Coturnix japonica: one gene and its partners. The protein of the gene in region 3 binds, or shares a complex with, the protein of the main gene of each other region. Links are inferred from orthologs where the notes say so. Each region holds a gene or a part of one and is shown on either strand. Other genes may lie near its edges. The genes, in order: FLCN, LAMTOR3 and LAMTOR5.

Region 1 (7,329 bases), on a different chromosome or scaffold from region 3:
ATCAGCTACTGCAGGGCTACCATTAAGGTGGGGTCCAAGAGAGATGGTTGCACTTGCTATGCTGGCAAAAGCACTTGGTGTTTTACCAGCCACAGCGTTCTTAGAGGATCTTCCAGCTCTGGAAACTCTGGCCTCACCTGCAAGTTTTTCCATCTGAACAAGGGTGTCTTCAGTTGGAGCTCCCTCCAGAAGTTTCTCTGTAAGCCGGCTGCCACAAGCTTTCAGAAGCCTGGAGACATTGAAAAACAGGTGGAAGCAGTAAGCAGGCTTAATGAATGCCAAGCAACAAAACAGAGAAAGAAACTTGGTGTAACAAAACATTCAACCATTTACCAGTACGTGTTCCTTATCCACACGCCTACATGTTCCTTTGTCCTAACTACCAGTGTTCTAATTGCTCAGTCACTGCAAGGCCTACCATTTTGCAATTACCTTGTGCAATATGCTTATCCCCCACCCAAGTCACATGCCAGCACTGCATCCCTCTCTGTGGCATCTTTCCAGGGAATTCTGATGACACACTGAGGGGTGGGAGTGTCTTTCCTTGCATTTCTCCTTCCTTTTCCTCGTACTTCAGTTTTCCCATCAATAGTCACATAAGGAGATTTACTTCACTGCAATAAGAACTATTTCTGCCTTAAAGCCATCACGAGGCCTTCCGTGCTCAGCTCCTTCCAATTCAGAGACTTCTTAGCAAAGTCCAGCTTACTACATCAAGAAAAACAACCCAAACATTTCCACCCTTTCAAAATAAGGCAATATTTTCTTTGTGTTCCAGAAGCCAGAAACACAAGTGATATTACCAAGCGAAAGAAGTGTGCAAACATGCCCACAGGTTCTCATCGTTGGTCAGGGATGTTAAGGAACGGGCTGCGTTGCCATTGCGCTGGTGCAGGAAGGGGGTGAATGCTGTGTTCATCCGCTGAGCACGCTGAGGGCACCCAAACTGCTCAGCTTCAAACACCTGCAGCACAGACAGTGGACAGTGTAACAGTCTTATAAAAGGCTGATAGAAAACTAAAATCACCAAAACGCTAAGGAACACCCACAACAGAAAGAGGTGCATCAAACACAGTCATTCAAATACACTAAATAATGAGGGAAGGTAAAATACCTTATTCTTAGATTGATTAACATTATCATTAAGTAAAACATCAGCTCTCAAAACTTTGTCCTTCACTACTTTGGGTACTTAAATTCTAACAGAGCTATTGTGTGGCAGTTTGGAGCCTGAAAGGCATCACAAATGGCTTAAAAGAACAAAGGTGGCCTCTCTCCTATAGACCCAGATACACACAGCCCTTTTACTCCTTGTATCAACCTTAAACTGATTGCAGTGAGCCAGAGCAGCTTTTGGATTAAGATGCAGAAAGCTACCAAAAGGCTGTACTAATATTACTATACTAGTAATAGGTGAACGGTTGGACTGGATGATCTTTTAGGTCTTTTCCAACCTTGGTGATTCTATGATTCTATAATGCTGAGCCAAAAGGACTCACTCACTGACCCACCTTAAGTGCTTTGCCCTGAAGTTCATCGATGATGCCTCTGATTTTTCCCAGCAAGAAAGGCCATGAGTTGATGAGGTAAATCCGGTCCATCATGATAGTGATGATGCTGTACCAGCGCTGGAAGCCTCGGGCCAGGCTGTCTTTGATAAAGAAGGTGTGGCTGAACACAAAACCATGCTGTTCATCTCCAAAAAATATAGGCCCTTCACGTCCTGGGCAGACCTGAATGGGGGGGACATACAGACCAAAGAAGCTCAGCTGGAAGAGCAATGAACTGTATAACAAAAGCTTGCTGCTATTTAACAGACATCTGATGAATAAAACAATTTTTTTTAAGGCTGCTATCTAAAACCTGTGGTCAAACAAACATAATAAAGCCTTCAATTTATCTTTATTTTACAGATTTTGCTCAGTTCAGCTACAACACTGTGGAGAAATCACAAGGAATTCCTGATGCTGGCACACAAACACTAGTCTGTAAAGCTCTCCATTTATATGAGACACTGAACGTCAGCAGTTTATAAAGACCAATTATTTCTCAATACAAAGCAATAGATGCCAACATTTTTACACAAATAATTTATCAGTTTATATTAAAAACACAAACAATAAATGCACAGGAGTGAAAATAAGAGAACTTTCACATCTCAGAAGTCAAGAGGAAAAGCATCCCCAAGGTAAGGCCCTAAGCAGGATTTCTTCCTGTACTCCTAAAGAGTTACCTCACAACTCAGACTGCGAACGCAGGCCTGGCGCACAATGCTGAACAGCTGGGGGTGGTTTGGGTGCTGGTGACTGACATACTTGATCGAAGTCTCCTTGTCGTGGCTGACAAACCCAGGATGTCCTCCTGCAAGAGAGCGGCAACCCTGAAGACAGAAAAGCAAATCCAAGCATAAACGAACATGCAGATTTCAAAGGTTTCCAGCTGCCTTTGCGTTTTCCCTTCTAAACGTAGGGTAGCATTATTTACACATATAAACTCAAGTATTCAGAATGCAAGCAGTTTGAGTCAGGGTGAGCACTTAAACTCAGATCCTTTCTATGCCAGTTTTCCACTGCTGAATTTGATTGTGCATTTGATGGTGATGGCTCTGCAAGCAGTACAAGTCAGTTCATAGCACCTGTGAAAGCAACTGGCCAACAAAAGCACTGGCCATAACCTAAAGGCAAGTAAATAACAAGTAGCTCAGATCAAGTGCTAATAGTAGCCACACAAAGGAAAAACTAAAAACACAGTTTTTTCTCTAGTTTTAGGAGCTTTAAGGTTGGTTTTGGTTTTTTTTTTCCTGTTCCCTATTTGATGTTGCTGCTAAATATTGCTATTAATCAATGGTAGAACCTGGTCTAATGAAGCAGAAACCTTTGGAGGCCAAGGGAAGCGTCTCTCAGACACATGAAAATCACACGCAGGGCTTAAAAAGACCTTAACAGAGAAACTTGCTTTGTCAGTTTGCTTAATAACATTTCCTTCAACTTCTGTTGTGGGTCACTGCAGTTTATAAGGACTTTTTTAGTACTGTCAGTTATATGAAAGCACAGGGGTAGTTCATGTGTTCATCAGATAACCCAAGAGCCCTTTAGTCAAGCAAAGAAACACTGATGTTCTGTGTACAGCTATTCACACTTACCTCACACATGTCTGACTTCTTTGGCCCTGGGCTGCTGGAATCAGCGCTGGCACCTTCAGCTGGGCTGTGCGAGCGGATCCTGCTGCTCATCTGGATGCCGCCTTCCTCCTCTTCCGCCTGCTCATTCTGCCCAGTGATATCCCCGCTGCTGGCACCTTGAGGAAGCGGTGAATGTAGAACCTCAGTGCAAAAGAGGGTGCGGGGACCGTGGAGCTCACAAAAATGGCAGAGAGCAACAATAGCATTCATAGCGAGAGCTCAGCACATCCGTCAGGGTCTCCTGCAGGTGAGTGAAAAAACACATAGCATCAATATACAAACTGGCACAAGAACTGCTGTTAGAATTGCTGTTACAACACCCCATGGGCCTGTCAGGTGTGAATGCTGATCTGTGTCTTTCCAAGAGCTGCTCAGTTGGGGTGTCCAGCACAGTTCCACCCTGGGCTGTGCTCATACCTTCACAGGACAGGCCCAGAGCAGCACAATCACTCAGCACCTGGGCACCTCAGACCGTGTCAGGATGGGGCTGTGCCGGCCCAGTGCTGTGTCAGCCATCCTTAAGGATCTCCATGCAAGCGTTTCTCAGCCAAACCGATGGCACAGCACAGAGAAGGGCCCTCAGAGGCCACCAGCCCCACCCGTGCCGTGTGCTGCCTGCCCAGGGCCCAACTACGGCCTGGGACAGCTCCATGGCGGGCACACGGCGGCTCCTCACCGCCCTCAGTACGAAGCATTTCCCCTCGTATCTAATCTAACCGTCCCCTTTCAGCCCGAAGCCGTTTCCCCCCGTTCTAACGCTGCATCCTACAGGCCCGGCCCGGCGCTGTGTGTCCACCCCCGGTCCCCACGCAGCCACACGGTCGGTCCCGGTCCCGGTCCCGCTCAGTGCCCGCTCCCCCACTGCCCGGCCCACCCCCCGCTCCCCCAGCCCCGTTCCCGTCCTCTCACCGCTCCGGGCTCCCGCCCCGGCCCGTCCCGTGGCTGCGGGCAGCTGACACACGCTGACCGCCGGGCCGTACCATCCTACCGGGCCGCGGGGGGGGGGTGCTGGGGATGCGGGCAGGCAGCTCCCCGCTGATCAGCCGCCCAAGGAGCGGCGAGGAGCGGGATGAGGCTGCAGAGGGATCGGGACGGGGATGCAGCTGGTGGCCGGACAGCAGGGGGCTGCCCGCCTCCACACACAGCTCCCGGCGCACTCCTCCCCCCCCGCGGCAGCGGCAATGACCGCGACCCGCAGCCGCCCAGTCACGGGACTGGGAGCAACCACTGCTGGGAGCGCGGGGGGGTGAGACGAGACGGGGCGATTAAAGGCAGCCAGCAGCGCTGCTAATTAATACAGCACCGCTAATTAATACAGCACCACCACTTGCAGCAAAGGCCTGATTCAATTTCCATGTAACCTCAGAGCCAGTGCTGGGCAAGGACAGCAGCACAATAAGAACAAAAGCACCCCCCAATAAAGAACAACACCTAGAGATGAAGGCAAACACCAAAGCTCTACCATCTCGTTCCTTCAGGCCAAGCATTTAAAGACAAACTAAGAGCGGGCTGGTTTGTGACCTTTATTTTCCAATAGTACATTGAAACAACTGCTCAGGACGAACCTCGTCGGCTGCTGTGGCCATGCAGAAACATCTCCTACGTTACACAACACAACACACACGGTGGGGCGCAGTTGTACTGCCCAGAAGTGCCTCCAAGTACAAGTGTTGCCTACAAGGCAACCTGGGTTATGCAGAAGCACTTGGTGCGATGGCAGCACTATGGATGTTCACAAGGGGCAGTACGCACGGCTCCCATGTGGCACAGACATACAAGGGGGGCTGCTACACGGATTCCAGCCTTTTTTTCTTTAAAAACAACCAAAAAAACCTCTGCATCGTTATATTACCAGCTAAGAGTGAAGTAGAGACCCCTCCTGTGGCTAAGAGCTGTAGTTGCAAGACAAGGGCTCCCTCCAGAGCTGCACTTTCTCTTTGCAAATGATGGCGCATTGAACTATGATATCAAAGCATGATAGCAGATATCAAAGCATGATAGCAGATATCAAAGCATGATAGCAGATATCAAAGCATGCTCAGAGCAGCAGAGCACACAGTGTTGTTACGTTTGGATCTACAGTCCTTCCTTGCAATAAATACAAATTAAAAGCAGAAAGCTCAAGTGTTCTCAATGCGTCTCAGCTCACCGCAGCCCCATGCAGTTAGTTCCAAGACTTGAAGGAGCTTCTTCATTTAAAAGCTCTGACTTGGTTTCATCAGTATCTCAGGACATGCAGATGCCAGACCTGAAGCATTTAGTCAAACCATTGCTCAAAAGCCTTTTCCCAAAGCACTTTTGGTGAATACTTCAGACTTTGGGACCTGACTTCAGATTTTCCACCAGCAAGTAACAAAGTGCCTCCTTAAAAAGCAGATCAAGAACAATAGTGCGATATATTGTTTGAAAATACTACACAGATCTGTCTGCCAGCCCTCCTGATGTGCAGTATAGGTTTATTTTATCTATGTCAGGAAAAGAAACAAAGCAAACACAGCTTCTATTTGCCAGGTACGTCTATTAATTTGCTTGTAATTCCACAGACATAAGGGCATTCAGCCCTCAGCAGAACGTTCGTGCTTACTAATAGGAACCAGCAATACAAAAAGCTCAGCTACTGCAGAGAGAACATTTCTGGTTCTTCTCAGGCTTCACAAATGCACTGTGCATACATTCCCCTTTGGCAATGAGGTGAACCATCACCATTTCTATGTGGCAGTCTGGATTTGCAGTGCTTTACTGCACACAACTGTAAACATTCCCATAACCCTGCTTTGTGCCTGAGCCCACAGCGCAGCTCATCGGGTATTGAACACAGAACCAGAGCAAAAAGTTACATGAGCGTTTTTAGGACTGAAATCACTGCGGGATTAACTAGAGGGAAAAAAAACCTCAAACATTAAAAAACATAAATATATTTAATGACAAGACCAGTAAGGCGTGTTTAGGTGTAAAATTTGCCTTTAAATATGGAAGTTGCTGATAGGAAGCACAAATTCTCAATGGTGAACAACTAACACTGTGGACTTATGCTGTGTTCACTGCTAAATTGCTATTTTATGCTTTTAAATACTTCATTTGGCACCTAGAGAATAACCCTGGGCAGAGTTGTCTCCTAGAAAGCAAACTACCACCACACAGCCTCTGCTAGAATCAAGAGACCAGCTTTAAATGAAAACCCCAACAGTTCTGTATCTGCACTGGAAGCACAAAATGGGTTATTTTCAACCACAGGTGACCTCAATACAGACAAGTTTAACATGGCAAGAGCCAGAAATGCTTAGCTCCCACTTTGACACCTGATAAAAGCTGGCAGGTTAGCAGCAGCAAGCAGCTCCTATTCAGATGTTTAAGCAGGAAGCAGTAGGTGCTGAGCTTCACATATTCTGCCTTGATGACAGGTTTATGTATGCCTGATAGTAGGAGATTTGCACTGATGTGAAGGATCTCAAAGGTGTTTGAACAGGCAGAATCTTCAGATACATGAGAGCTACAGGAAAATAAAAATCCCATTGATTTAAGAAGTGAAACCCTTAAAGAAGCCAACAAAAAGTGAATTAATAACTAGATGCCATTCCAGCAAATTAGTTCCAAATGAAATTGTTTTTTTATGAGTTGTATAGGGCTCCATAATGAAGAATCATATTTAGAAACAAAGAAAGGATCTATAGCACAGCCTTCATTTAGAACTGATTTCCACCACAGAAAAACAGTAGTGTGTTGAATACCTTCGTGCTGATTGTATAGGAACAAAAACTTAAACTTCTTTCAGCGTGAACAACTTCATATCCAGCATCTTCCAGAACACCCAGGTCTTCCGATTATCCTTGTTTAGGCCTAGTAAATTTGATCCAAGAGCAAACATTATTAGGAAGTATTTTGTACCAGAAGTTTAAGATTATCAACAGCTCTCACGTATGGTTTCCCTAAAGCAACTTCTGCTCTTCACCAAAGTCACCTACCGAGGCTTTAATACCTTTCGAGAAGAACATGGTTCTCATTTCATCATTTGAGACAGCAGCCAACTACACTACGTATATGCAAATTATGATGTAGAGAAGCTCCACCCCTCTCCCCCCACCATACACATGTCTGCAGTTTGAGCCAAATTTAAATACAAAACGAACCAGTAATTATCTTGTAAATGA
Region 2 (7,482 bases), on a different chromosome or scaffold from region 3:
AACAAAGGTGTTTGCATTTCCTGTGTACTTAATCAAATCCTGAAAACTGCTGAGGCTCATTATTCTTTTAGGGGTCATCTGTGCTTATAGCAAGCAATGTGCTTGAAGAATGCTTTCTCTTTCTTGTTCAAGTTTTGAACTAGATAAGGGCTAGAGAAACTGTCTGTCCCAGGTGATGATAAAATAGTACATCCCAGTTTTCTCTCAGAGGATTCTGATAGAGAAATTTAACTGAATTTAACTGAAGGATGTGTATGGCTTTTTTCTTAAAGAAAGTACCTTGTGAAGATACCAAGCGTGCAGTTTGCTAGCAGACTCAATCCACACACAGCTGTTTAATGGTCCTCAGTTCCTCCTAGAGTTCTCCCCCTCACTACAAAAGGCTTCTTTTCTCCTTTATAGCTCTTTATTTGCAGAATATGATGTTCTCTGCATCTAAGCTATTACGATGCGTATTAATGCTTACCTGCCAATCTGTTTATGGGCAGTCCTTGATTTGTGATCCACAGAATGCCAGCAGGAAAATGGATTTGTCATGGATTGCAGTAGACAAATAGGAATGGAGATGCCTGTATTGGGTTGTCTCCTGGTTTTTGTTGGCTTCTTTTTCTGTTGAGTTGGAATGAAATTTTCTATTACCAAAGCTTACTATTTGGTAAGCTTTACTATATGGCTAAAGGGGTATGAAATAAGACTTACTAAACAAGTTATTTTCAAGACCAAGGATGAAAACACCAACATTGTGATGCTTGGGGAAAGGTGGTCGTTTTCTTCTCTGGAGGATGACACGACCATTCATTTCAGCATTTAGCTTGAAATGGCAAATTCAGTGCTGTGCTGGTAATAGCGATATGTTTTAAAAGTGAATTTGTGGTATAAAAACATGTAATATCTGTTCTGTCCCTGCCTCCTTTTTCTTTGGCAGAAGTACAAGGCAGACCATTAAAATGCAGACAGAAAATCTGGGTGTTGTTTATTATGTCAACAAGGACTTTCAAAATGAATATAAAGGAGCGTCATTACAGAAGGTGGAAAAGAGTGTGGAAGAGGATTATGTGTCCAACATTCGGAACAACTGCTGGAAGGAGAGGCAGCAAAGTAAGCCTGGTCATTTCATGAAATAATGCATTATTCCATATTTAAAGGAAAAAAAAGGATTATCTCCATCAAGAATGGAGCTTGTATTGTTCATATATCTGGAGAAGAAAACAAGGTGAAAGGTTCCCTACTGTTTCTCACTTGTAGAGGTGTCCCAGCTAGCGTCACCTAATAGTGTGGACCAAGAAGAGAAGTTTACATTTAGTGACCTAGCTATTATACAGAGATGTTACTGGGATATGGTATTTGTGTTTCCTCTTGTATTTCTCTTATATATATATATATATATATATATATATATATATATATATAAAGTCCTTGACGATGCAAAGCGGCCCTACCTTTCCATATGTAAATACATAATAGGAAAGATATGATGACTGGAGAAGCATCTGACTCTAATGTAAAGAACAGCAACTGCGTGAAAGTGGTGACTGTCACATTGTTTTCTGTTTGCAATTTACCAGACAGTGATAATTACCCAAAATGATGTAAAAGAAAGCAACCCCAATAGATTGTCTCTATTTATAGAAACAAGTGACATTTATTTTTACAGATTTAAAATACTTATTGTGTTTGGAAATTTTTGACAGCTAGAATCTTCTTTCCAGTGTTGATTGACACTCTGGAACGAATTAAAATGCAGAGCAATGTCAAGCTGTTGAACATCAGTATAATACAGAGAGCTCCTAATAATAGCTATGAACGCTGGCAATCTGAAGCAGCATCTATTGAAGTAATAGGCTTAACATTCAGAATGAATTGTGGGGCACAGGCAAGATGCTAGTTCTGTAATTGGGTGCTGCTGCATGAAGTGTGAGGGTGCTGGAAGGTTATTACTGTGACTGCTAGAAAAGATGACGTGCTTGTGGAGACAGTGAAAGGAAGCCTGTAGTGCTGCTGTTACATGATATCTGTGGGTAGTTAGAGAGAAAAAGGGTGAGGATTAAACCCGAGTTGTTGTGGACTGCTCTGAGAAGGAATGCACAGCATGTACAGAGCATTCAGTTTTAAACCTGAAAAGTGTTTTCTCTTTTTCTTTTCTCATAAAGAAACAGATTTACTTCATGTATCGAAAGTTTATCGAGATGACCGTCTCCGAAAGAAAGCAGACTCCATGTCCATGGAAAACTGCAAAGAACTCGAACGTTTGACCAGCCTCTATCGAGGAGGATGAACTGCTTTCGTATGCATCTCTCCTGTAAATTAAGAAGAGATTTAGTTTCACCGTGAATGCTGGAAAAGAGGGTGGATGTAAAACTCTACTGTGTAGCTGTTTCCAGAAACCTTAAGCTGAAATATCATGTAACGGCTTCTTTACCTACTGTGAAATATAGGTAACTTTAATTGTCTAGATTTTACTTCGAAGCTTCTGTGAATTCTTTCAGCAGAGAGAATAGCTTAGAAAGGATGCTATACTTGTAGAAACTTAGTCATAGTGGTTCTCCTCTAACATATTTGCCATGTAAATATCTGTGGAAAGAACATTTTGTGTATATACGAGTTAAATGACTTTCTATTTAAAACCTCAGAAGTTTAGTTCCATACAACATTTTGTCTCACCGATGGAATAAATAGAGTCTGGTTACATCACTCCAATTCAGATGTCGAGCGTGTGGAGTTGGAACGAGGATTTGTAATGTTTTATCTCTATGTAACATCTTCTAGGCCCGCCAGCTTAGAGGAACTGGGTATTTTTAAATATAACAGCATATATTCCTAATGGTCTGCTGGGCTGCGTTCATCTGGTGTAGCACAGCAGTCAGTTGTTGTGGTTATTTTAGTGTTTCTAAGCCATGCTGAGAAAACTGAAGGACTGCACTCAGCTCTTTGCCTGGTGACTGTTGTATGCAGGTTCTGTACTGACCATGGTAAGCATTGCATCTAGTGCTCGTGGCAGCTGTACTGACCATGGTAAGCATTGCTCTTAGTGCTCATGGCAGCTGTACTGACCATGGTAAGCATTGCTCTTAGTGCTCGTGGCAGCTGACGGTAGCTCTCTCATTTGGTATCCAGTGCTATAGTAAATCCATACGTATGGCTAACATGCATAGAGCTTCCTTAATTGTCACTGGGAAGACAGAAGAAAACGTGAAGGGAAAAAAAAAACAACAACTTATTTATTTTTTTCCTGGGAAACTTCCATTTTCCTGCTGTGTTTTGATTTGGAGATAGATCCTGATGGTGACTTGTCAATGGGCACCACAGGTGGAACAGAGACATCCAGCTGAGCCTTGTGCCTGTCAGTTCTTTGGCCGGTTGTTTCAGTGCTCACTGCTCGTGCTGCTGTGCTCAGAGCCGCGTCACTTGTTCAGGGCTGGAGGTAGAGGTGGTTGGGGTGTTGCAGGTCCGTTTATTTGGGCCTGAATGCTGCAGGATTGACGTGGAAATGATCAAACACACTGTGCGGCTCCTCCATCCAGCACCACGTACCTCAGTGAGTTACTCCGGACCCGCAGGTGGCGCTGTGTCCCGGCGCCGGGCGGTGCCGTCGCCCCGCTGCCGTCCCGCAGTGCGCACGCTCGGCAGCGCCGGGCCCAATGATCCGTGCCGAGTGAGGAGGCGCTTCGCGTCGTGTCAGCTGACGGGACTAAGGGAAGTGCGGCCGGGGCGGTCAGGTACGGCAGGGCCGCCAAGGGGGATCGGCCACAGCCCGCTCTGCTGCCGCGGCGGGGCGGGAGGAAGAGGCCCTGCCCGGCCCTGCCCTCCTCCGCTCCGTGTGCCGCCGCTGAGCGGGCGCCTCTCGTCCCGTAGGGCCGCCGAAGGGGCAGCAGCGCCGCGAGGCCTCCAGCCATGGCCGATGTAAGCGGGGCGGGGCGGTTGGGCTGCGGGGGGCCGGGATGCGCTGCGGGTCGTGTCACGGCGCTGTCTGTTCCCGCAGGACCTGAAGAGGTTCCTCTACAAGAAGCTGCCCAGGTAACAGTTGCTCCATTCGCATCTCCCCCTCCGCCTTGTGCCGCTCTGAGCCCGCCCTGCCGCTTCCTTTCACGTGCCTGCCCCGTGCGCGGCTGTTGGTGGCGGTGGGTCAGTAGATGAGTCATATGCAGCAGCTGTGCCCTTTGTAATTATCGCTTCCTTCTGCAGCGTCGAAGGTCTCCACGCTATTGTGGTGTCGGACAGAGACGGGGTGCCTGTCATCAAAGGTAACGGCAGTGTGCAGCATCCAGTGTGCAGCATCCAGCTGTGTGTGTGCTAATTCCTCCTGGGTTTGGTACCGTCATTTCTAGCCCATCTCAGTCCTCCTTCAGGATCCCTCTGCGGTGCAGGTGAACTGGTTTAAGCACAGCAAGGTTCGGTGTTGCTATTTGGTGGTGTTTCTTAGTGGTTCATAGTACTTATGCAGCCAGCTGGACATGCACATCTCCATCCGCCTCCCCTCTGGTGGCTGTTTGGCAGCAGTCAGTTCCCAGAGCGTGTCCCACAGCACTGTATGTGGGATGTGAACTGGAGTGCTGTGCTGTGGTCACAGGTCACCTGCAAGGCATTAAACAATCTGCTGCCCTTGAAGACTGTGCTTGTTGTGAAGGCACAGGCGATGTCTTATGTGTTTCTGACACCACGTAGCTTTTGGGTTTGTTTGTGATGCAGTCATTGATACCATGTTAAAGCAAAAACTTTCTTGTTCTGCCCCAGTTGCCAATGATAACGCACCAGAACACGCCCTACGACCCGGCTTTCTGTCCACGTTTGCCCTTGCAACGGATCAGGGCAGTAAGCTGGGACTTTCCAAGAACAAAAGCATCATCTGTTACTACAACACATACCAGGTGAGTGACCGCAGCCTGGGGCCGGAGCTCCTCGTGTGTTACCATGAGCATCATGGGAGAGAACATGGTGGAAACTCTGCTTGATTTCCACTTGGCTCTTGGTGCTTTAATTCCCTTGTTAAAGCTGGCTAAGCTACATTCTTGCGCTTTATTGAACTCTTAAATGCTTCTCAAGGCTGAGAAGGCTGGCGGGTTGAAGTTGGTCGAGTTTTCTGTGCAGCTGGCGACCAAGCACCAGCAGGTGGTGCTGCTGATGTGCCTTCAGACTGCCACGAAGGGCTTATGTTCTTTTTGCATAGGGTATTTGTTTATTACTAACACAGATAAACGAGCACGTGCAGCTCACTTAACAATTAATATTGCTGTTAGAAGGACTTCAAGGTAAGAAAACGCTGAAATATCTACTTGCCGTTCTTACAAGCTGGATATTTGCACTGTGAGTTTTTTGTTACCTACCCAGTGTCTGCTCATAAGCCTGCCTGCCCACTTGATACCTATATAAAGGAGCTTCCACAGAGCACTCAGCTTCCTGCACTGTGCTGCCAGCTTCATTAGCACGTTTATCTGTGGCACCCACTGTGTGTTGGCTGAGGGGTAAACTGCTTCTCTCTCTTGCAGGTGGTGCAGTTCAATCGCTTACCTTTGGTAGTGAGCTTCATTGCCAGCAGCAATGCTAATACCGGTACGTCTCCAGGTGGCTTTAAATGTTTGCAGTATTTTAAGCCCCGAATGTTTTAAATATTTGAAAGTAAATAGAGTTTTCTTCAAGGTGCATTAACTTTTCTCCTTAATGTGTCGGAATATACTGAAAAGTTGGGAGATGCACAGGTAAAGACCCATAGATTCTGGGTGACCTGCTGAGGTTATGATTCCATTAGAAATGCTATGGAAAACCATTCCTGAGACTTGGAAGCTTTTGTAAGAGTGCTTCTCTGGTTTGTTGTTTGATGGATGTTGCGTCTCTTGTCTCTTCCTAGGGCTGATTGTAAGTTTGGAGAAGGAGCTCACGCCCTTGTTTGAAGAACTAAGGCAGGTTGTTGAAGTTTCTTAACCTGATGGTACAGTCAGAGCGCAGCGTCCATCTGCAGCCCCATGGACAGGAAGATTGAATAATCCTCAGTCCAGTAACACGTCTCAGAAGATATATCACAGCTCCTTAGTACACTAAGTAAAAGTAAATTGTACATAGTGCTGAATCTGAAATGATCTGCTGGTGTGTTGTAGGCGGATGTTACTTTAGACCACGCTTCTTGTGTAGTGCAGTGTTGGAGACCACCAAATAACTCCCATGGAGTTTAGCTCAGCCAACTTAACCACGTTAGCACAGTGCTCTTGGCTCAGGTGAGCAGCCCACAGACCTTTTGCTTTACTGAGCACCAGGCATACAGTGGGGTTTATCCCCAGACTGGCTACCACAGCTGGTAACAGATGGATTGGTGTTAGCAAAGATGTGGCTGAAGGAGCATCGTGAGAGCATGGTTGCTAGCAGCAATGTATCAGTACAATCAATCAATATCCTGTCTTGTTGGCGATGCTTCGGTCAAAGAATCTGACTAATGTGGGTGTTGGCTGCATCCTGCTTTCACCGAGATTGCTTTTTCTATGAGCTGTTGCTTTAGGGGTTTTCCTGATGCCCACAGGAAAGCACACGAACCATGTTTCGCTTCGTGGGGTTTTTGTGTAACACAATTGTGAAGTTCTCATGCCTTGTAGTCTTTGTGTGGATTCATCACGGGTGACACTCAGCTCATTTACCCCTAGGTTTTCCTAAGTAAATAAATATAAATAAAATGTATTTTTAAATGACAGAACCTGGTCCACTCCTCTGTTGCACCACAATGTAGCACCATTTCTGTGCAGAGAATGGGTTTCTTCATCACTTGTAAGCTAATAGAAGCCAGGAGCTCACAGGTAAACAGCCCCAAGGCATCCGTGTGGGTGCTTGTGGCAAACATCATTCCTGTTCCATCCAGGGAGAATCTCTTGCTGTTGTTTCCTGCTCAACCTGCCCAGTGCCCTTGCCCTAAATGCTTCCTAAGCCAACTGAGTGCTGACTCTTGCTGGCTTCCATCTGTGGCATCACGCACTGAGCTTGTTTCTGATGTTTTGTAATGTGTGAAGAGGAAGGTTGCTTCTGTGGTTGCACTTGGAGCTTCATTCTCAAGATGTTGGCACAGGAGAGCAATGGTATGAGAGAACATCACATCTTTCTTCTAATGCTGCCCTTATTGCATGCCGAGTTATATCAGTGCTTTATAACTAAGTTGGAGATGCAAGTTGTTCATTGACTCTTAAGGCAGAAAGGAGGACTAATGTATCTTGCAAAGCTTTAACGATACACTACAGAATTACAGAAGACCTTTGTTAGTTTTATAATGACATTTTATTCAGAAAACAGTGTATAAAAATATTTACAAATATTTTGAATTAGAAGTTGAAATAAAACGCTATTCCTGTCCAGAGCTGGATTTTCCTTCTACTTTGTTGTTCTACTATGTTTCTACTCCCTTTCCTCTTCAGCTTTCTCACAGTAAAGGCATCTACTGAACACTGAGCTGCTGCTGCTGCTGCACGATGTCCAGGGAAGAAGGTTTGCTTCATCAGATGTGACTGTTAC
Region 3 (7,320 bases):
CCCCGGTCCTTCTGTTTGGTGGCGCAGTCTCACTGCTTGCCTTCAGCTCACTTTCTTTTCCCCTTCCTAAATAGCTCAAGGCGTGTAATTAAGCACTTTCCTTTAGAGCACAGGGTTGGTTTGTGCTGAAAGCCTGGGCTCTGCCCATCCCATCTTTGAGCTCCTGGGGAGGTTTTTCCTGCCCACCTCCTTCCCATTCTATCCCATACTTCCAGCAGCAGCCGAGCCAACAAACCCGACCCCTTCCTTACCGCCGTGCTGCTGCTGCATGCTGCCAAACCTTCCCCAAAACAGCAGAACGCAAAGAGGAATCTCCTCGTCATTTGCTCCAGTGGTGAAGTTCCCCCCTCTCACCCCCCCTCCTCTGCTTGTGACCCTCTGCCCCCCAGCCTGGCCCTACGTCCGTGTCCGGCAGAGATGACGACCAATGCAAAACCGAGGCAGGACTTTGTGTTAGGATCCTTCCTCCTCCTTTCCCTGCTGCTCCAGGCCAGGAGTCCCTCCCCTTCCCCTATGGCAGAGCATGATTCCTTTATGGAGGAAACTGTGCCGTCTCCTGGGGTCCGACCGAGGCTCCGTGTCCAGCTGATGGATGGAAGCCAGAGCTGCTGGTGGCCACCCAGCCCTACAGGAGGAGATGACAGCAGTACTGTAATAGGGTAATGCTGTGGGGTCGGGGGGGCTGGCTGTCCCATCCCTGCTTTACTCCCTTCTTGCTGTGGGATCCGGGAGCGGATATCCTGGGGTAAACAGAACAGCATAGAGAAACTTCCCTTACAGTTGGGCATCCAGCACATGCGCTGAGCTTTTATATAGGTGGGACAGTGTTTGCAATGTGTGCTATGAGAGCTTGGGGTGCACAGGGTGCAGGGGGGGAGGTGGCAGCATCTGAGACCATCCCTGTGTATCCAGCAGCCCTAATAATGAGGGCAGTGATCCCAGGGCTTGTTAATGGGAGAGCTGAGTGCTCACAGCCCTTTAACTTTTGCTCTTATAGGAGCCCATGGCTATTTATTGGGGCTATTTAAAATGGGCGTCTGCACTCTGTTTTGAGGAGATGAGCTTGGAAACTGAGCATTAAAGAAAATAAAGGGGAGGTAAATGATGGGCATGATGTAGCACTGCTCACCTCCATTAGCACCAACCTCACCATGAGAGCGCTGTGCAGAGCAGCCCATCCTTAGAGCCTGCTACATACATAACAGTGATGGTGAGGTCAGGAATGTCTGTTTTACACAGTGAATGCAGTTTTAGCTCCAACCCTGCCCTATCTGTTGGTCTATGCTCTGCAGTGAAGCCTCCTTTCTGCTCCACGTATGAGGCCAGCTCCTGTCTGCTCCCTTGTGCTGCGGAAGCATTCGAGCAAAGCAGCTTTTCAGGGCCTTTCTATGGGATTGTTCTGCCCAGTTCCAAATGCTCAAACCTCTAAAGGGAAGAGAGGATTCGCGGGGATGTCATCAGCATCCGTTCACAGTTCACACGAGGGCCAACAAGTTGAGGTTTGAACTTCAATCCGAAGCATAATAATAAGCTGCTCTCACTGAAAGCTTAACCAGAGGAGGCTAAACATTTCCTAGGAGAATAGAGAACTATTTGTATCTCTTCTACTGGAGGGACCTCCAAGTCTTGGTCCCTTTTCTCTGCAGCAATGCCAATGAAGAATCAGACTGGGAGAAGTCCCTCCAATTGGCTTTAGGGAAAGCAATGGGCTTTCACAGTAGGATCAAAGAGAAGCAACAGTTTTTGCAGGTCATTTATTGATTTCTCCAACAAATAAGGCCACGCACACACACACACACCTTGTAGTATCTATCATTACACAAGCTTGGTGAGTGACTCACGTCTTTAACAGCACGACTGCTAAAACGTGAGCTGGAAACCCTGATAGATGCATAGGAGCTGGTAAGTAGAGAGGGAGAGCCTTCAGCCCAGATTTGGTACTAGAAGCGTGTTCTGCATTGGAACAGCCAAGGAGAATGAGGAGGAGCTGGTCTGGAGCAGGGAATGGAGCATCAGGATGCCACGGTCAGGATGCCAACTTGTGCACTGCTACGGTGATGCTGTCATGCTTCTGGATCATGATGTTCCTAGAGCAAGGAAAGTGCTGTCAGAGGAAGGTGAGAAACCAGCTGGGAGAGCAGGAGCTGACTTGGCTGGGAAACCAGATGGGCAGCTCAGTGCCAGACCTGTCAGCTGTTCCCACAAAGGGGGATGATGGAGTCCTGCTGACCAAAACGACACTACAGCATGGGCTAAATAATCCATGGGGATCCAAAAAGCAAAAGAAATACAGTGCTGCAGCAACCACCAGCCCCTGAAAGGCTTCCAGCTGCTTCTGCAGTTCCCAAAGCCTGAGGTCCCATGAATCTGACTTCTTTTCATACCCCCCTCCCAACACAGCTTCAGCAATGGGGCTTCCTCCAGCTCTGCCAGTGAAATAGAAGATGGAGAGCTCTGCTCTGGAGATTTGGGGTGGGGAAAAAGGGAAGAGCAGCAGCCTTGGGCTGGATGCTCACCCACTGTCTGACTCCAGGCACACCACAGGAGTGTCGGTTGGGTCGGAGGTGAGCTTGGCTGCCTGCTGGGCCAGCACAGAGATGACTCCAGCATGTTCATCTGAGAGCGTTCCTCGGCCTGCAAGAGGGGAGATGTGGGTTGAACTCACGCACACCGTGATGGGAGGCAGCTCCCCATCCCCACTTCCTTCCCTTATTGCTGTAAGCTGATGTAGTACCTCCCCAGATCAAAGAATCACATGAGTTGGTAGGGACATATAAAGGCCATCAGCCCAACCCCCCTGCAATGAACAGGGACACCCATAGCTCCAGCAGATGCTCACAGCCCCCATCCCTGACTTCCAGTGTCTCCAGGGCCAGAGCACCCACATCTAGCTAGGGGCAACCTGTGCTGGTGCTTCTATGGGAGTCCATTGGGGTTCTATGGGGGGGTCCATAAGGGGTTCTATGCGGGGTCCACAGGGGCTCTACAGGGGGTCCACAGGGGTTTCTATGGAGGGTCATAAGGGTTCTATGGGGGGGGGGTCCCAAAGGGGGTCCATAGGGGTTCTATGGGGGGTCCACAGGGGTTCTATGCAGGGGGGTCCACAGGGGTTCTATGCAGGGGGGTCCACAGGGGTTCTATGGGGGGGGTCCAAGGGGTTCTATGGGGGGGTTCTTTGGGGGTATGCATCCAGACACGCATTGCGATGCGTGAGTTTCTATGGGGGGTTCTATGGGGGTTCCAATACGGGGTTCTATGGGGGGGTAATAGGGGTTCGTAATGGGGGGTCCACAGGGATTCTATGGGTCTGGGGTTCTATGTGGGGGGGTCACAGGGGTTCTACTGGGGGTGGGGTCCACAGGGGTTCTATGGGGGGGGTTCTATGGGGTGTCCACAGGGGTTCTATGGGGGGTCCATAGGGGTTCTATGGGGGGGTCAATAGGGTTCTATGGGGGGGTCCATAGGGTTATATGGGGGGGGTCCATAGGGTTATATGGGGAGGGGGTCCATAGGGGTTTCTACTGGGTGGGGTCCCAAAGGGGTTCTATGCCAGGGGGGCACAGGGTTTCTAAGGGGGGGGGGGGGGGGTTTTTTTTTTTTATCTATGGGGGTCATAGGGGTTCTAATGGGGGGTCACCAAGGGGTTCTATCCAGGGGGGTCCACAGGGGTTCTGTGGTTTGGGGGGGGGTTCTAATGAGGGGGTCCACAGGGGTTTCTATGGGGGGTGTCGCACAGTGGTTATATGGTGGACAGGAAGTTCTATACGGGGTCCATAGGGGTCTTATACTGGGGGGGTCATAGGGGGTTTACTAGGGGGGTCCATAGGGGTTCTACGCGGGGGGGTCCACAGGGGTTCTATGCGGGACAGGGATTCTATAGGGGTCCATAGGGGTTCTATGAGGGTCCACAGGGGGTCCATAGGGGTTCTATGGGGGGTCCATAAGGGTTCTATGGGGGACAGGGGTTCTATGCGGGGTCCACAGGGGTCCTATAGGGGGGTCCATAGGGGTTCTATGCGGGGGGGTCCACAGGGGTTCTATGGGGGACAGGGGTTCTATAGGGGTCCATAGGGGTCCTATGGGGGGGGTCCATAGGGGTCCATAGGGGGTCCATAGGGGCTCTATGGGGGTCTATAGGGGCTCTATGTGTGTCCCCATGCCCACCCCTAACCCAGGCCCTGCCCTGGTCGCTCCCATACTCACACCCCAGGTTGAGGCCTTGCGAGTCGGTGCACAGGACTCCCACCACGGCCGGGTTCTTCATGCTGCGGGAGAAGCGGCGGTCAGCCCGGCCTACACCCAGCCCCCAGCCCGCGGCCTTGCCTTCCTTCCCCCCCCCAGCCCCTCGGTCCCGCCGCCCCCATCCCGGTCCGTACGTGTCCTCCAGGTGCTGCTCCAGGCTCCCCTCCATGCCGCCCCCCTGTCGCCTTCACTTCCGCCCTTCTCGGCGGCTCCTGGCAGCTGCGTCGGTCATGTGATGCACGCTACGGTGGCTCCGCAGGGCCAAAAAGCGAAGCCAATGTACGGGAACCGCCCTGAGCAGCACCGGTATGTTCCCATTGGGCAACCACTGGTCAACCATTGGTCAACCATTGGTCAACTAGTAGTCAACCACTGGTCAACTGCTGGTCAACCATTGGTCAACCACTAGCCAACCACCGGTCAACTGCTGGTCAACCATTGGTCAACCATTGGTCAATCATTGGTCAACCATTGGTCAACTGCTGGTCAACCACTGGTCAACCATTGGTCAACCACTGTTAACCACTAGTCAACTGTTGGTCAACTGCTGGTCAACCATTGTCAACCACTGGTCAACTGCTGGTCAACCACTGGTCAACCATTAATCAATCATTGGTCAGCCACTAGTCAACCACCGGTCAACCGCTGGTCAACCATTGGTCAACCACTGGTCAACCACTGGTCAACTGTTGGTCAACCATTGGTCAACCACTGGTCAACCATTGGTCAACTGCTGGTCAACCATTGGTCAACTAGTAGTCAGCCACTAGTCAACTGCTGGTCAACCATTAGCCAACCACAAGTCAACTGCTGGGCAAGCACTGGTCAACCAGAAGCCAACCACTAGTCAACAGCTGGTCAACCATTGGTTAACCATTAGTCAACCACTGGTCAATGAGGACCTACAGGTACCACTAAGTCCAACTCCCTCCACCCAACCCCTATGGTTTTGGGTGCCCCTGCCCTGTGGAGCTGTGCCATGCCCACCTCCCTCTGGTGCTCAGCCTTTTCCTAACACCCATCCTGTCCATCCCAACACAGCTCCATACCTTTCTTTATGCCCTGTATTTGTCCCCAAAGAGCTGTAAGGGCCCCACACCCACTCCCACAGAGGACGTGGGGCTGTAGTGTTGTATCACAGCCATTCGTGCCCTGCTTTCAGTGTGCAGGAGGTGATGGATGGCAGAGCCATCAGAGCCTGAGACTGATGGCTGAAACGCATCCAGCTCAGCCCTGGCAATGGATCTTATCATGTCAGGCTGGAAAATTAAAATGTTATTGATGGGGGAAGTGAAATGCAGTGGTGATTTTTCTTAGTTTTATTTCTCTTTCAATTTTTTTCCCCTTCTTGATTGAGTTGGAATCGTCACCAGTCACTCCAATCCCATTGCATCCCCCCCATACTGGATATCCTGCCTGTCCCAGAGCTCCATTTTGGGTTATTTTCACCCTCCTTTGTGGGGGGGAACACAGGAATAAGATACAGCTGTGCCCTATTAAGGTTGAATCCCCCCCATACATACACACACAGGGACCCCAGAATCCCAGCTGATGGCCCATTCCCTGCAGTGAGGCTTTAGGACGGAGGAATTTCTGAGGACTGGGAGAAATTAATTCAAGACCAGGTGGAGACTTCAGCAAAGCAGGAGAACAGCTGCCACTTCAAAGGGGACGCTGGCCTTTGGAGGGGGAAATAGCCGGGCTATTTTTAGGCAATTAAATAGATAATTTAACATGGGATTGATGCTGTGCAAGAGAAATTCTGCTGTCAGAGACAGCAGGAAGCAAAGCTGTTCTGCTGTTTGGCAGCCTGGATGTTACAGGGATGGTGCCTTGAAGTCCAGGGCTGGAGAGATTCCATTCAGTGGGTCAATATCAGTAATGCTCCTTCAATAGAGACTTACTTCGAGCCCTTGTGTAAAGGAGCATTGCCACCTCCTGGGCACACATGGCACTGGGCAATGGGAACCCAGGCTGGGCCATGGGAGCACAGGACAAGCACCAGCCACAGCTGTGTATTTCTATGGATTCATGAAGCTTTCTCCATGCAGAGCTCTGTCCCTCACACCCTCCCACAATGTGTAAATAAAAGCAGATGCTGACGGTTCATCCTCTCCTGTTTTTAAGCTCTAGCAATCCCTGCTCTTGTTTCCATGTGCTCCCAACAGACGCTCCAGATTCAATCAGACCCATAGAGAGGGGGGACACACTCAGGATATCCCACTATCCTATGAAGCACCAATTGAGTCATTTACACATCATGTACCATCCACGACGGCCCTTTATATCTATCTCCTTTTAGCTCCAGAACTGCTAATTCTCAATCTGATCCTCAGCTACACCTGTCAGGGATAAATATGCACCAGCCCAACAAATCCAGCTGTGTTAGCTGAGCTGAGAAATAACCCTGGGATATGGATGGGGGCGGGATGGCTGCTCTGTGAGTATTCCACCCCCCCTTCCTCGCTGGGAAAAGAATATTTCTTTCCTACTATTAACGATGCAGGTCTCATCTGCTTGCTCTGATTGGGAGGTTAAAAACAACCCAATAACCCACCCAGGCTGGAGGGGAGGGCAGGGGGGTATATAGGGCCGGGGTGCAGGCGGTGCAGGCAGACAACAGCACCATGAGGTGGCTGCTGCAGACCCTCTGCCTGCTGCTGCTGCTGCCCTCCCACCATGGAGCTGTGATCACAGGGGTAAGTGCAGCCTCAGCACTCAGCATTTGGGGTCATTTTATGGCTGGTTTTATTTGGAGATAAGGCACCAATGGTGCTCAGCATCCCTATGGGTCAGTATCCTTATCCTTGTGCTGCTTCTCTTGCTCTCTGAAGTGTGATGCATGGGTTTGATCTGTGTTGGGTTTTGCTGTGTTCTGCTTTGTCTGTTCAAAGTGGGGGCTGAATTTGCTGCCCTGAGCTCAGCGTGCTTTGAACTTGCCCTACAGTCTCCCACCCTGCACCGTGCAAAGTCACGTTTGGTGTGAACCCAGCCTCTCCCACCCTCCCTGTTTGCACTAAGACAAACACGAGGTGCTTGAACTCCTTTCACTGTTTGCTTTGGGTCATTTTCTGCTTG

What was found.
Region 1: LAMTOR5 (region 3) and FLCN share a complex: the UniProt entries of both Homo sapiens proteins name them as parts of the lysosomal folliculin complex. The link is inferred for Coturnix japonica from reciprocal best matches to the Homo sapiens genes LAMTOR5 and FLCN.
Region 2: LAMTOR5 (region 3) and LAMTOR3 share a complex: the UniProt entries of both Homo sapiens proteins name them as parts of the ragulator complex. The link is inferred for Coturnix japonica from reciprocal best matches to the Homo sapiens genes LAMTOR5 and LAMTOR3.

The regions. Positions count from the first base shown.
Region 1 is NC_029529.1:4,764,086-4,771,414, forward strand, and holds the start of FLCN (folliculin), read right to left. Parts: upstream 4,357-7,329; 5' UTR 4,091-4,356; intron 3,423-4,090; 5' UTR 3,392-3,422; coding exon 3,143-3,391; intron 2,381-3,142; coding exon 2,234-2,380; intron 1,734-2,233; coding exon 1,512-1,733; intron 965-1,511; coding exon 804-964; intron 230-803; coding exon 138-229; intron 1-137. UniProt on the Homo sapiens protein: Multi-functional protein, involved in both the cellular response to amino acid availability and in the regulation of glycolysis.
Region 2 is NC_029519.1:54,081,267-54,088,748, reverse strand, and holds LAMTOR3 (ragulator complex protein LAMTOR3), read left to right. Parts: upstream 1-3,602; 5' UTR 3,603-3,716; intron 3,717-3,852; 5' UTR 3,853-3,891; coding exon 3,892-3,900; intron 3,901-3,979; coding exon 3,980-4,014; intron 4,015-4,182; coding exon 4,183-4,241; intron 4,242-4,731; coding exon 4,732-4,865; intron 4,866-5,483; coding exon 5,484-5,547; intron 5,548-5,842; coding exon 5,843-5,916; 3' UTR 5,917-6,673; downstream 6,674-7,482. Other genes in the region: DNAJB14 (dnaJ homolog subfamily B member 14), read left to right, coding at 926-1,098, 2,151-2,275. UniProt on the Homo sapiens protein: As part of the Ragulator complex it is involved in amino acid sensing and activation of mTORC1, a signaling complex promoting cell growth in response to growth factors, energy levels, and amino acids.
Region 3 is NC_029541.1:1,786,860-1,794,179, forward strand, and holds LAMTOR5 (ragulator complex protein LAMTOR5), read right to left. Parts: upstream 4,512-7,320; 5' UTR 4,412-4,511; coding exon 4,377-4,411; intron 4,266-4,376; coding exon 4,204-4,265; intron 2,635-4,203; coding exon 2,517-2,634; intron 2,088-2,516; coding exon 2,027-2,087; 3' UTR 1,740-2,026; downstream 1-1,739. Other genes in the region: SLC16A4 (monocarboxylate transporter 5), read right to left, coding at 401-761; PROK1 (prokineticin-1), read left to right, coding at 6,870-6,941. UniProt on the Homo sapiens protein: As part of the Ragulator complex it is involved in amino acid sensing and activation of mTORC1, a signaling complex promoting cell growth in response to growth factors, energy levels, and amino acids.